Linked DNA regions of Sus scrofa. The protein of the gene in region 2 purifies or fractionates together with the protein of the main gene of each other region. This does not show direct contact. Links are inferred from orthologs where the notes say so. Each region holds a gene or a part of one and is shown on either strand. Other genes may lie near its edges.

Region 1 (3,500 bases), on a different chromosome or scaffold from region 2:
GCTCTTCTGAGCAAAGTCCAGTGGTATTTTCCTTGCCACACTCAGCATTTATTTCTAGTCTTGATCCTTCGATCATTCCTTGTGTTTCTGTCAGAGATGCTTCTTTAACTTGCTGTTCACCAAGAGTATAATTTAAAGACACATTTACTCCCCTCAACATCCTTACATTTGGTTCATGATCCGCAACAGACTCCACCTCATGGTCACAAGAGTCTGGACATACTTCTAGATCACAATCTTTTAATGATCTGCATACTTTCTCTTCACATGATTTTTCAGCATTGAAAGATTCTGCTGTAGAGGAAGTGGCCTCCTGGTGATCTGAATCCTGGTTGATCATTTCCATAACCATGGTGGTCAGCTCTCCTGTCTGGGGCAATGGGCTCCTTGAAGGCTCACATGACATCGGTCCATCTCGCCTGGCGCCACCAGTAAGTGTGCTAGAAGCTGTGGCATCCAGAATGCCTTCTGGGGGCTTGTTACTACAGACTGGGGGGAACACGTCCACCATACCATCTGTGGATGCCTCACAACCAGGAATCCTTTTTAAGGCCCCCTTCTTTGCGATTCCACCAGACACGCAGCTATTACTGCCGGGACTGACTGGAAGATCCTTCTGGGGGTGGCTCCCCTCTCTGGTAGGCTCTGTGACCGTCTCTCTCTGGTCACGACCTAGGGTTTCCCTAGCTGGGCTGTCCTCACCTCTGCATTCATCTGGTCTGTGTGGATTGCCCTGGCAGTCGAGGGCTCCATCTGCCTTCTGCTCAAGAGTGTCAGCTGTTGGGTTCATGATTTTAACATTGGAGAACCTAAGAGTAGGAAACTGGTCCAACAATTTTTCAGGACTTGGAATGTTGGAAGGTTGGTTTGGTTCTTGTATGGCCCAGTCAGAAATGTTATGTTTACAAAACATAGCCTCTTTGGGTATATCCTGTTCTTTTTCTTCTAGCCCTTTCTCACTGGGCTGGATGGTGGGGATGGTTTTGTTTGAAGCTTCGCTATTTAACATGCCTGCAGTCATTTCATTTCTGGTCTTACTTCCTGGAAGGCTGCCTTTGGTTCCTCCCCCATCCGGTTCACCTTCCAACAAGGTACAGCTCACTTTATGGGGTACAGAGCCTTCTTTCCCTTGGGGGTGGTGGTCACTATACTGAAATACATTTTCATACATGGTTGTTAGCAAGTTCTCAACTCCCACCAGGGCTGTGCTGGACTCCAGGACATAGGCAGAACACATCTCATCAGGGACGTGCTTTCTTACACAAAGGCAACTAGAGAGAGCCTGAGATTGAGCACTTTGACATTCCACAGCAGATCCCTCTTGAGGCAAGCCTACTGCTTCATTCTCATTTGAGAGCAGTCTGGAAGATAGATTTGTAGCTCTGGAATCAGCTGTTTTGCTTTTTCTTTCCAGGCTTCCTGGTATGCCATTTAAGGTGGAATTGTTTGAAGAGGTACCACAGGTTTGGTCACCTGGTGGAGAGATGTCTTTCATTTTTGTCTTCCCAGGAATGGTCTGGGTACCAGCAGTGACATCTGCGCAATCCTCTAATGGAGCACGCTGACTCTGTTGGCAGCCCTTGCTCACTGCTACAGGCATCTCTTTGTCAGTTGGCAACTTCGTGTGGTTTGGAGAATTAAGGAACACTTGATTTAAAAGACATTCACTTCCCATTTTGGTACAAAGAAGTTCATTCACCTCCCAGGCAGTGCTCTGTTTATCTAATTGTGAACTATCATCCTGGGAGTTCCGTAGAGCCATTTCTGACTCAGATCTGTTATCACATTCTAGGGATGGCGGTGATAGAGCAATGTCTTTCTCAGGTTTTGACACCTCATTTGTAGAACTCATCTGGTCCTCTGGTGTTAGACTCATAGGGGATTTTCTTTCAATCTGAAATCCATTATGGGATGCTTCGTTTGACTGGGTGCTGCCTTCCAGGTTTCTCTGGGTGCTGATGGAGTGACAGTCTTTACTATAAATTTTTTCTCTTAACACATGGGGCTCTGCAGTGGCTGTGTGTTCTGGCTCTTCGATCTGTATCAAAGAGGAAGAATGGCTCTCTTCAGGGCCTGTGCCTGGATGGCTCATGTTACTAAAAGTTCCTCCTTGGTCCTCTTGGTTTGCCAAGCTACCGTGAATGTCTAAAGTCATTTTAAGATCATTTTTTTTAGACATTACTTCTGTGGCCTCAGTGAAAGAATTAGGCATTAAAGAATTAGAGGAGTCTTTATGGACACTGCCTAAAGGGCAGCAGTTATCATGGATATTGCCTTTGGGGAAGTTAACAGTCTCTTTTTTTCCTAAACAGTGACTGCTAGCATCCTCTTCCAGTTGCTTGGCATTAACAAGAAAGAGTTCCTCTCTTTCACTCCTGGGGCTCAAAGGCTGTTCATTTTCTTCTCTAGAAGCCACATTCTTGCTTTGATCATCCCCATTAAAACAGGACTTGTCTGTCTTTTCAGCAGATCCCTTTGGCAAGCTGTCGCCTTCTAAATCACACTTGTCTGAAGATTCTGTTCTGGATTCTGGACCAGACAAACTTGACGTGAAATGTGAAACTTCGGGATTTTCTTCTAAGGGTTCTAAAATAACCACACTTTTCGTGGTTTTGGGACTGCCATGGACAGAACTGTATCTCTCGTTATGGTGGCCAAGATTCTGTTGGTGATTGTCATCTGCTTCACAGACAAGATTTAATCTACACAACTCTTCCTTCCCATGGTCCACTGTGGAAATGGCAATATTTCCTGGTAATAATGGCAACCAAGAAGGACAGGTTTTTAATTCTTCACATTCTTTTTCTGTAGGAGTTGCTTCCATTAATCCAGGGTCCACAAAGTTTAAAGGTTCTAAAGAAATCTCAGCACTGGTCATGATTTTGTCTGCTTCAGGGCAGCTGCTGCACCCATCCGAGAGACCTTTACTCACATGGCTGTTGTTGTGTCCTTCACTATTATTCATCTTAGGCCCACTGACCTTCATACCTTGAACTTCTTCCGTGGATTTCAGCAGAGTGCCAGTTGAAATTTGTACATTTCCTTCTGCACAAGAGAAATAAATCCAAATCAGTACGTAAGCATTAAAACAAACCCTTTGCTCTACCTTCATAAATTCAATCATGCAACAAACAGAAGTAACAAGAAACAATAAGAAAACCAACTCAAGGAGGGAATTGCCATGTTGGTGGTATAAGACCATTGGCTTGTTCTTTTCTGCAAAATACGACAGAGGGCCAAGAAAGTACCTGGAAGAAACAGGTTATTTTGAACAAATGCTTTTCTTTAAATGTCACCTTTTTTTTTTGTTTTTTTAGCCCAGGTGTGCAATGGCTTGATGTGGGATCTTAGTTCCCAGACCAGGGACCAAACCTAGGCTGCAGCAGGGAAACATTGAGTCCTAACTACTAGACCACCAGGGGACTCTCTAAATGTAGCTTTCTTAAATGCACTTACTTAGCTGGATAAATGAATATAATGAGAAGACATATGCCTAATTC
Region 2 (3,500 bases):
TCAAAATCAGACCCATTAGAATGGCTTTTATCAGTTAGGTTTGTTACACGATGCGTTAGTTTGTTGGAGAGATTAGAACAAAGAAAAATGAAAGCATAGAGCATACAGAGACTTTTTGCATGAAGTATGATCACGGCAACGTTATTCATAATAGCCCCAAACTGCAGGCAACCCAGATGTTCAGCCTACTGGTGGGGGAAAAAAACAACAAAAAACATACGTACATGTTATATATCTAGTATTGCCACACAGTGGAATACTGTGCAGTAATAAAAAGAGACAGATCACTGATCCATACAGAGATGAGTCTCAGAAATATTCTACTAAATATAGGAAGCCAGTTACACACCAAAAAACTACATATTGTATGATTCCATTTCTAGAGAAAGCAAATCTCAAGAGACACTATCAGTGGTTACTGCGTGGGAGTCAGGAGTGATTGCCAGCAGGCATGCAGGATCTTTCTGGGTTAATGGAAAAGTTCTAAAACGGGAATGCGATGGTTGTTGTGTAACTATAACAAAACTCATGGATGGAGTTGTGCAGCCGATGATTATGCTTGGCATAAAGTTGGTGAAATTTGATTTTAATTGACATGGATGGGATTGGCAGATACCCCATGGGATGAATATCTGTTCAGTTCTGTGTGATATGGAGGGTGGGTGGGTGTGTTTGTGTTTGAGGGCAGGGTGGGGTGTTTTTGAACATAACTGAAACTGTATTTTCCCGTAGAAAGCTTATTGGGTTGTCATTTGGTTTTCGAAGGATCCAGTTGTTTATGTTGTTTTCCTCTTTGTCATTTCAGGTTCGTTACCGTGAACGCATCACCATTCTTCGAGGAAATCATGAGAGCAGACAGATCACACAAGTATATGGTTTCTATGATGAGTGTTTAAGGAAATATGGAAATGCAAATGTTTGGAAATATTTTACAGATCTTTTTGATTATCTTCCTCTCACTGCATTAGTGGATGGGCAGGTATGTAGGTCTTCTTAAAACTTATTGCTGGGGTTCCTTTCGTGGCACAGTGGTTAACGAATCCAACTAAGAACCATGAGGTTTCAGGTTCGGTCCCTGGCCTTGCACAGTTGGTTAAGGATCTGGTGTGGCCGTGAGCTGTGGTGTAGGTTGCAGACGCGGCTCGGATCTCGCATTGCTGTGGCTGTAGTGTAGGCTGGTGGCTACAGCTCCGATTCAACCCCTAACCTGGGAACCTCCATATGCCATGGGAGCGGCCCAAGAAATGGCAAAAAGACCCCCCCCCCCAAAAAAAAAAAAACAAAAAAAACCTTACTGCTGATTATTTTCTAGAATATGCTTTCTTAGCATTTAGGTGGCAATAAGTCATTTTTCCATCCTCACTTCCCTTTGGGGCTTTTTTTGACGTGCCTTCTTTATGTCAGGCACTGAACTGTATGTTGGGACCACAGGGGTGGAAGATGTAGCCCATCCATTCTCTTCAGCTGTTTGTGGACATGTCGGCGTGGGGGTCAGGGTGAGGGATGTAATTAGCCATTTACGGATCTTGAGAAATGCACCAAAAAATTCCCAGGAAATTCTGTGGAGAGGAAGATAATAGTCTATGATGAAGGTAAAATCAGAGAAATGTTTTTTCTTAAAAGAGTTGGTTTAAGTTTGGGTGCAGTAGGAATAGTTCAGGAAGAATGGGAGTGTATTCCATAGTTTAAAGTGGGATGGAGTTCCCATCATAGCGCAGTGGTTAACGAATCCAACTAGGATCCATGAGGTTGAGGGTTCGATCCCTGGCCTTGTTCAGTGGGTTAAGTATCCGGCGTTGCCATGAGCTGTGGCGTAGGTCGAAGATGTGGCTGTGGTGTAGGCCGGCATCTACAGCTCCGATTAGACCCCTAATCTGGGAACCTCCACATGCCTCGGTGCGGCCCTAGAAAAGGCAAAAAGATGGGGAATAAAAATAAAAACATTAAAGTGAAATGGGGTGGAAGAAAAAAAGACCCTGCAGAAATAAGCCTAGTTCTAGTTCTGGCAGAATGCCGAAACACCAGTTGGGCCAAGTGATGTGGTCTGCTGCCTGCAGCTTAGTCCAGAATGTTTACGGTTTATTTTAGATGAGGGTAACATTGTAAACCACTCTTTTCAGATCTTCTGTCTACATGGTGGCCTCTCACCATCCATAGATACACTGGATCACATCAGAGCACTTGATCGCCTGCAAGAAGTTCCCCATGAGGTATTGATGCTTTCTTTTCAAGAAACATTAGAGGAAATGTTTAATTGTGACTTAATTACAAGTATTTTCTTGTTTAATTCTCAAAAACGATCCCATGTGGTGTGAGCATTCTTGTTGACCTCATTCTTCCGACGCTAACATTAAGAAAACTGCTGAGATCACGGTTGCTTTGCGATTGGGTTTAGGACCTAGGTGGTGGTTGTCTTTACAGCTTCTGTCTTAATTTCTAAACTCTACTGCCTAACATTGAAATTTGCATCCTAAAGGCAGATTAATTAGTATGGGCTTGTTGCTCTTGGGACTTATTGATGTAGGCTGTGCCTGTTAAAAACATTTGAAAATAGTTTCTTATTTACTTGACCCAAATATTTGACGCAGTCTGCAAATCCTTTTACCGTTTTCAGCAAACATCATTCAGAAAGTGTGACTTAGGAGGGCGCAGCTTCTGATGAATTACTCAGATCATGTATTTAACCAGGTTTGCAAGAGGTGGTCTAAAACTTAACTTGCTTTTTAGGGTCCAATGTGTGACTTGCTGTGGTCAGATCCAGATGACCGTGGAGGTTGGGGTATATCTCCTCGAGGAGCTGGTTACACTTTTGGGCAAGATATTTCCGAGACATTTAATCATGCCAATGGCCTCACGTTGGTGTCCAGAGCTCATCAGCTCGTGATGGAGGTATGTTCTGTATTTTGATGCTTGATTTGCTTTTTTATTTATTTATTTTTTCGTCTTTTCTAGGGCCACTCCTTTGGCATATGGAGGTTCCCAGGCTAGGGGTCAATCGGAGCTGTAGCCACCGGCCTACACCAGAGTCACAACAACTCAGCATCCGAGCCGTGTCTGGGACCTACACCACAGCTCACAGCAATGCTGGATCCTTAACCCACTCAGCAAGGCCAGGGATCGAACATGCAACCTCATGGTTCCTAGTCAGATTCATTTCTGTTGCGCCACGAAGGGAACTCCTTGATTTGCTTTTTAAGTAAACTTGAGGAAGATGTTAGGGATTTTATGTTATGTTAATATATTTTAAATTATATGATTTATTAATATATTAATGAGAACATGCCGTGTATTTTTCTGATGAGTTTGCCATTATAGCATGTCTTATGGCTAGATGCCCACTAGAATAAAACCTCAAGGAGTTCCCCCTGTGGCAAAGTGGGAATACCAGCATTTCTGCAGCACCAGGATGCATGTTTTATAACCTGCATGGCATAGTGAGTTAAAGGATCCAGCATTTCGACAGCTGTGGCATAGGTTGCCACTATAGCTTGGGTCTGATC
Region 3 (3,500 bases), on a different chromosome or scaffold from region 2:
TGCAGAAGGTGCCGCCGCACTTTATGTTCCCACACGGGCAGGAGAACCAACCGGGATGGAGCACCTGGAGCCCAGCGCCCCGCCTCGCCCGCCGCGGTCCCCGCGCTTCACCTTGTCTGCCTCCTGGCTGACCGCCAGGGCGCAGGCGATCTCAGCAGCGCCGCCGCCGTAGACCACGCGGTTGTCGCGGATGAGGTTCCGGATGACACACAGAGCGTCATGAAGGGATCGCTTGGCCTCCTCGATGATCTGGGGAAACGGTTTCGTGGCGGTCAATGTGACTGTGATCTCATCATTCAGAGCCCAATACTGTGCACCTGGTTTAACCTCAGCGCTTGCTGGTCCTGGAAACGGCCCGGCCCGGCCCCGGGAGGGCGCCTGGCTAAGAACAAACGGAGGGAACACCGCCGGAATACTGCCCACCCTCGGATGGTTCCCACCTTCATCTTACTTTTCCTAGGATGCAGTTGTTTTAACAACAGGGAGAGGCAGCCAGGGACTCATTTCCAGGACTCACGACCAAGTCAAGGGGCCGGGCAAAATAAAACTGGTAAAGAGAGCCTCACAATGAGCCTCATTCACCACGACGCACTGGCGTCCACGCCTGGAGCACGGAGACAGCGCCAACGGTTAGGGATTGGGTTCCCGTTTCTGCTTGAGGGACTGAAGAAAGGAAGTGTCCCTCATACACCTGAAAGTGGGACAGTCTCCAGGGGTCTGACGACAGGTCATGTCACTGCTTCTCCAAAAAAGACGACCTTTTCTTTCTTACGGAAACTGCCTCAGTTAACTCCGTGTGCCAAAAGCCAAACCACGTTTCAGCACCAGCAAAGGACAGAGCTGAGTTCTCACCATCTTGTTTCCTCCTCTGATGAAGATGGTGACGGCTCTGGAGTTCTTACACTGCTCGATGACCAGCATCTTGTCCTTGGTCGTCCCGAACGAGATCTCCTTCACCAGCCCCGCGAAGCCCAGCTTCTCCGGCGTGAGCTCCGAGAACCGCGGCACGATGCGCCCCCCGGTGGCGATGGCGATCAACTGACCGTGGGCAGGGGAGGAAGTCGGCTGCTGAGCCGGGCCTCTCAAAACCAGCTCGTAAAAGAGCCCAACCGGACCCACGGTCACTGTTCACCAGAACTGCTGGCCCACCCAAATCAAAGTCCAGCCCCAAAGCCTTGTTGAAGGGTCAAGGTTTTGAAGAGATGGGCCTGGCCCTGGTCAGGTTCCAGGGTTCCAGCACAGAGCACACAGCTGACCGCACCTCTGAATCGGGCCACACACGCCTGAACCCCCGTGGGCTGGGGGTACAGACCGTGTCTGGAGTGGCTCTTAGTATTTATCTGGCTGACCCAGAAGTGGTCAACCAGTCTTCCTGCCTCAGACAGCCACTGAGGCGACACAGGAAAGCATTTCAAAATGCCACAAACCACCAAAGACATATAAAACAGTAGAGCCGTGGCACAAGGTGGTGCCTGACGGCCAGCACGGGCACAGCGCCTCAAATGCATGTGCATCCTAAGCTCGACCCCGTCCCACTCTGCACAGGGAGCTTCCTACCTCGATTTCAGGGCCTCCAACCCAACGAACCGCAGGCAAGTTATTCTGAAGAAGTAAATGATTTGCTTCATCGTCAAATCCCCATTGGCAGATAGCTAGGTTAGCGCCAGTTTCCTTAATCTGGGAAAAGATACATCACCATGTTAAAAACACAGTATTCTTTGTCCTCTAATGTAGGAAAACACTGAAAACAGGTGAGAAACATAACAATGTGTAAGATGGGTGCATTCAAACAAAACACAGCACTGGCCTCATCTCCTGCCATCTCACACACGATGGCAGCAGGGCACAGATGGATTTATTATCACACGTCAAACACTGTGTAATCCAACAAATGAATGAACCCACAAGGAAAAAATAAAGCACAAAGAAGACCATGACAAAGAAAATAAATGTCTTCCTGTCTGCTCCAAACTCTAAACAATGAACATGTATGTATCAAGGGGAATCACCTCATTTATTTATTTTTTTTGGACACGCACCGTAGCACGTGGAAGTTCCCAGACCAGGGATTGAACCTGCGCCACAGCAGTGACCTTAGCCACTACAGCCACAACGTGGGATCCTTAACCGGCTGAGCCACAGGGAACTTTGGAATCATGTCATTTGTAAGCAAAGCTTTGAACAGTAGTAATTCACGCTCAATGCCAGTGAAGCAACACAGGACAGCAGGGCAACCCGCCCCCACAACTGGGAGCTGAGAAACCAAAGCCGGCAGCTCTGTCCCGGCACAAACCCCCATGAAGCAGCTGATCCATATGCATGCTTACAAACCCTCCACTTTATGACACATCTTCCTGCAACTTGCTTTTCCCACTTTGCCCCTGTGGCTATCAAGATACAGACTAATTATGGGGCAGACGGGACGATCCTGCTTCTGTTAAGAAACCCCCCCACCTCAACAAGTGGCTAAGTGACTTGTCCCAGGAAGGCGTCAGTGATCAGAACCGTCAACCCCTCCCGCAGGGATCAGCTGCCGTAACCACACCGTATCCCACAACCAGCATTTCACCTGTCTCTTCTCACCACACCGGGCGCTCTACCCCTGCACCTCTGGAATCGGTGCGTTACTGAACTCCTTCTGGAAGACATCTCCTTTATATCCTTGCCGTGAACACTAGCTGTCCCCTGAAACACACACATGCCCTGGCATTCTCACAAATGGCTCTTTTCCTGCCACATGCTCACACTAGCAGAGGCCCCTCCCGCTCCTGCAGCCCCCAGTGTTCCTCTCTGGGTTCCTCAGAATCCCTGTCACCACTCCCAGCCACCCGCACATCTATCAACGTGATCCACGCACACCCTCGGCATCTTAGTTCCTGTCACCTTTTCCTCTTGGGCACGTCGGCCACCCTGTAGCCCAGAAAACCACCTTTTGCTTATAACCCTCTGCCAGCTCCCCAAGCCCTCCGGCTTGCTGACCCCGGCCTCAGGGCCTCCTCCGTACACGCTGCCCACACCCCCTGGCAGCCTGGAACACTCCTCGCCCAGACACGCTGCTCTCACTTCCCCGAGGTCTCCTTAGAGAGGCCCTTGACCTGTGTCTGTAACCCAGATCCCACCTGCTTTCCCCCGACTCCGCAGCCCAAGAGCAAGCACTGTTTTGCTCACTGCCACATGCCCAGCGCCCTCAACTCTGCTGGCACACATCAGGCAGAGGACGGCACCATGAAAACGAAAACTAACTCAACTGACCCTCCTGCTCCAAACACCGAAACAGCGCCTGGTCTGTTCGCTAAGATGACCTTCTACCCGAGAGATCTGTGTTCACGCACCCGAGTGCTTGTGTTCTCAATTCCCAGGACGGGGGCCCTACGGGGACCTGCTCCACCGGAGAGCAGGCACACAAAAAAATCAACGGCCAGAGAGAGTTCAGGATAGACAGAATAACAGCCTTGTTTCAGCAAAGACCTGGGACTACTATGTCCGCACCTAGTCTGATT
Region 4 (3,500 bases), on a different chromosome or scaffold from region 2:
GTTCAGTGAGGGGGGGGGGTTAATGGTGCCTAAAGGGAAAACCTAGGCATGGCTGAGAACCAAGAATTGTACTAGGTGTTGGAAAAGTTGTGGTTGGCAGGAAAGGGAATTTAAAAAGCATATTGGAGGAGTTCCTGTTGTGGCGCAGTGGTTAACGAATCCAACTAGGAACCATGAGGTTGTGGGTTCGATCCCTGGCCTTGCTCAGTGGGTTAAGGATCCGGTGTTGCCGTGAGCTATGGTGTAGGTTGTAGTCACGGCTCAAATCCCACGTTGCTGTGGCTCTGGTGTAGGCTGGCAGGTACAGCTCCGATTAGACCCCTAGTCTGGGAACCTCCATATGCCGTGGGAGCTGCCCCAGAAAGGCAAAAAGACAAAAAATAAAATAAAATAAAAAATAAAAAGCATATTGGAGCAGTTCCCATGGTGGCTCAGTAGAAATGAATCTGACTAGTATCCATGAGGACTCTGGCCTTGTTCAGTGGGTTAAGGATTTGGGATTGCCATGAGCTGTGGTATAGGCTGGCAGCTGCAGCTCCAATTCGACCCCTAGCCTGGGAACTTCCATATGCCTAGGGTGCAGCCCTAGAAAGACCAAAAAAAATAAATAAATGAAAAGCATATTGGAGGAGCTCCCTGGTGGCTCAGTAGGTTAAGGACCTGGTGTTGTCAGTGCTGTGGCTCAGGTCACTGCTGCTGTGGTGCATGGGTTTGATCTATGTGCCACGGGCAGGGCCAAAAAAAAAAAATTAGGGTTGTAATATATTATTTTGTAACACATAGTGCATATGGTACATTGAACTGCGGAATTGGAAAGCAAGAATAACTACTAAATTTAGCAAAATTAGAGTGGGCCTAAAGAGGAATCAGCAGTTATATAAAAGTAATAGTAAGCATGAAATAGGATAGAAGGGGCAAAATCAGCGTATCAGACTAAGTGTGAACAAACTGAATGAATAAGGGTAAGTGCTTAGGCCAGCAGCTACAGCTCTGATTCAACCCCTAGCCTAGAACTTCCATATTCTTTAGATGTGGCCCTAAAAAGGAAAAAAAAAGAGAGGGAACTTTATTGGAACACAACTCTGCTCATTCTCTGTGCACAGCTACAGAGAAGAGTGGAGTAGGATGACTGAGGCAGAGCTAGATGGCTTGCGAAACCCCAGGTGTTTACCATGCTCCCTGAACTGAGTAAGCTCACCAACCCTGGACAGGGGACAGGTTGTGCGGGAGAGTGAGCAGAGCAAGCGGTAGTGTCGTCAGACACATAAGTTGTCTGAGGGGATGAGATGGCCCTAGAGGGTATGTGGCATAGCGAAGGAGCTGAGCTCCCTGGGGCCGCCCAGTGGAGGGGACTGGACTGGAGCTGGGGGTGTTGAGTGCAGACAGCCTGGGTGAGAAGCAGAGGGACGCAGCCAGGGTGGCTTGAGGGAGGGGTGGTGCTGAAGCTGGGACTGCAGTAGCTGCATGTGGCTTGCAGGCCATGCTCTGGTAACCATGAGTGGGCTCTGTTTTGGACATTCTGCATCCAAGCCTGTGGCAGCAGCTGTGGGGAGCTGGCATGCGGAGGGTACCAGCAGGGGCGGGTCAACATCGAAAAATACCAAGAAATCAGGAGGGGCAAGTTTCATTTACTGGAGGATGAGCCAGTAAAGAGAGTTTTAGGTACAGACCAATTCATGGCCTTTGCTTCATTTTGGATGTTTCCTTCATCTGTTTATTTTGCTTCTTGAGCATTGGTTTTAAGACATTGTCCTGGGCTCTGCATTGTTGAAGCCACTCTTTGCTGAGCAGGTGTCACCTCAGCTCTGTTGTAAGCTCCCCAGGGCACGAGATACACAGTAAGTGAGGTGCTGTGCTGGGGTGTGTGCTAGTGTGCCAGTTACATTTTAGTTATAAAAACATTGTCTTTTTATGGTCTTTTATTTTTGAGGAGTTTTGTTTGATTGGGCTTTTTTTAGTCTTAAAACAACCTTATGAGACGAAAAAGTATATTTAAGAAATAAATGTTCTTCCTTTGCATCTCTCTCAGGGCTACGACACACCATTGCATTTTGCTTGCAAGTTTGGGAATGCAGATGTGGTCAATGTGCTTTCCTCACACCCTTTGATTGTAAAAAACCCAAGGAATAAATATGATAAAACACCTGAAGATGTAAGTACCTATTAAAATGCTATTACTGGAGTTCCCTTGTGGCTCATCGGGTTAAGAATCCAGTGTTGTCACTGCTATGGCTCTGGTTACAGCTGTAGTACTGGTTTCATCTTTCACCTGGGAACTTTTTTTTTTTTTTTTTTTTGGTCTTTTTCCCTTTTCTTGAGCCGCTCCCACGGCATATGGAGGTTCCCAGGCTAGGGGTCTAATCGGAGCTGTAGCCACCGGCCACAGCAACGCAGGATTTGAGCCGCGTCTGCAACCTACACCACACTCACGGTAACGCCGGATCCTTAACCCACTGAGCAAGGGCAGGAATCGAACCCGCAACCTCATGGTTCCTAGTCGGATTCGTTTAACCACTGCACCACGACAGGAACTCCTGGCCTGGGAACTTCTGTATTCCATGGATGCGGCCAAAAATAAATAAGGAAATAAATAAGTAAAATGCTATTACTACATGGTGTTAGTAATGAAAATATGTAAAATTACAGTTCGCAGTCACGGCCCCTGTGAGGTCAGAAGTAACTCTGACTTTGTGACTGTGTTTGCCCCATGGGCACATCTTAGAACCCCAATTGTTAAAGTAAGAGGGACTCTGAAGAAGATGCGTCTGCAGACCCCAGGGGGAATAACTTTCCCCGTTTGCAGCTTTTATTTTCCTGACACGTGTTGAGGTTGTTCTCAACAGCTCCCTTTGTCTTTTATCAAGTTCCCTCTGTGCATGCTCAGCATCGGAGAGAACAGAGGAGGTGGTGTTGAGGGTGATGGCGGTGGTGGTGAGGAGGATGGTGGTGTTCAAGGAAATGGTGACAGTGAGGAGGATGGTGGTGGGGATCACTGGAATAAAGACGGTGGTGGTGAGGAGGGTGGAGGTAGGGATCATTGAGGGAACTTGGCGATGATGAGGTGGACGTTGAAAGTAGCTGACAGTGTGTTCAGCTCACTGTGCAACAGGTGCTGCCTAAGCCCCTCCTATGTATTCTTATCTGCCCCATTCTAGCCTTATGAAGCAGGCCTTGTCATGATCTATATTGGCAGTTGAGTAAAATGCACCTTAGAGAGGGCAGAGGTGCCTCTGTGCAGTGAGGTGGTGAGGGAGGTGGACCTAAACAGAAACAGAAAATGGGTTAATTTGTCCCACGCGTTAGAGCTGTTACTGGCCTGGGCCTGCCAGCCCTTTAGAGATAGAATATGTGTGGTCCTGTTCTGGAGCGAGCGCCTCCTTTGTAGTTGCTATGATACAGAAGTAATGCCCACATCTGTAGAAATTATAGAATACACATAAAAAGAATAAAATTTGCCAGGCAATTCTATGGCTTAGAAATTGCTATTATTTTGCATAAAC

The links. The genes of interacting proteins can lie anywhere in the genome.
Region 1: the proteins of PPP2CA (region 2) and PRR14L purify together in Homo sapiens (affinity purification with mass spectrometry; 3 studies listed by BioGRID and IntAct, with this or other methods). This does not show direct contact. The link is inferred for Sus scrofa from reciprocal best matches to the Homo sapiens genes PPP2CA and PRR14L.
Region 3: the proteins of PPP2CA (region 2) and CCT5 purify together in Homo sapiens (affinity purification with mass spectrometry; 4 studies listed by BioGRID and IntAct, with this or other methods). This does not show direct contact. The link is inferred for Sus scrofa from reciprocal best matches to the Homo sapiens genes PPP2CA and CCT5.
Region 4: the proteins of PPP2CA (region 2) and ANKLE2 purify together in Homo sapiens (affinity purification with mass spectrometry; 4 studies listed by BioGRID and IntAct, with this or other methods). This does not show direct contact. The link is inferred for Sus scrofa from reciprocal best matches to the Homo sapiens genes PPP2CA and ANKLE2.

Annotation. Positions count from the first base shown.
Region 1 is NC_010456.5:48,380,241-48,383,740, forward strand, and holds part of PRR14L (protein PRR14L), read right to left. Parts: intron 3,046-3,500; coding exon 1-3,045.
Region 2 is NC_010444.4:136,502,131-136,505,630, reverse strand, and holds part of PPP2CA (serine/threonine-protein phosphatase 2A catalytic subunit alpha isoform), read left to right. Parts: intron 1-805; coding exon 806-979; intron 980-2,120; coding exon 2,121-2,210; intron 2,211-2,727; coding exon 2,728-2,889; intron 2,890-3,500. UniProt on the Homo sapiens protein: Catalytic subunit of protein phosphatase 2A (PP2A), a serine/threonine phosphatase involved in the regulation of a wide variety of enzymes, signal transduction pathways, and cellular events.
Region 3 is NC_010458.4:72,213,203-72,216,702, forward strand, and holds part of CCT5 (T-complex protein 1 subunit epsilon), read right to left. Parts: intron 1,678-3,500; coding exon 1,558-1,677; intron 1,039-1,557; coding exon 853-1,038; intron 250-852; coding exon 112-249; intron 1-111. UniProt on the Homo sapiens protein: Component of the chaperonin-containing T-complex (TRiC), a molecular chaperone complex that assists the folding of actin, tubulin and other proteins upon ATP hydrolysis.
Region 4 is NC_010456.5:22,759,135-22,762,634, forward strand, and holds part of ANKLE2 (ankyrin repeat and LEM domain-containing protein 2), read left to right. Parts: intron 1-2,029; coding exon 2,030-2,152; intron 2,153-3,500. UniProt on the Homo sapiens protein: Involved in mitotic nuclear envelope reassembly by promoting dephosphorylation of BAF/BANF1 during mitotic exit.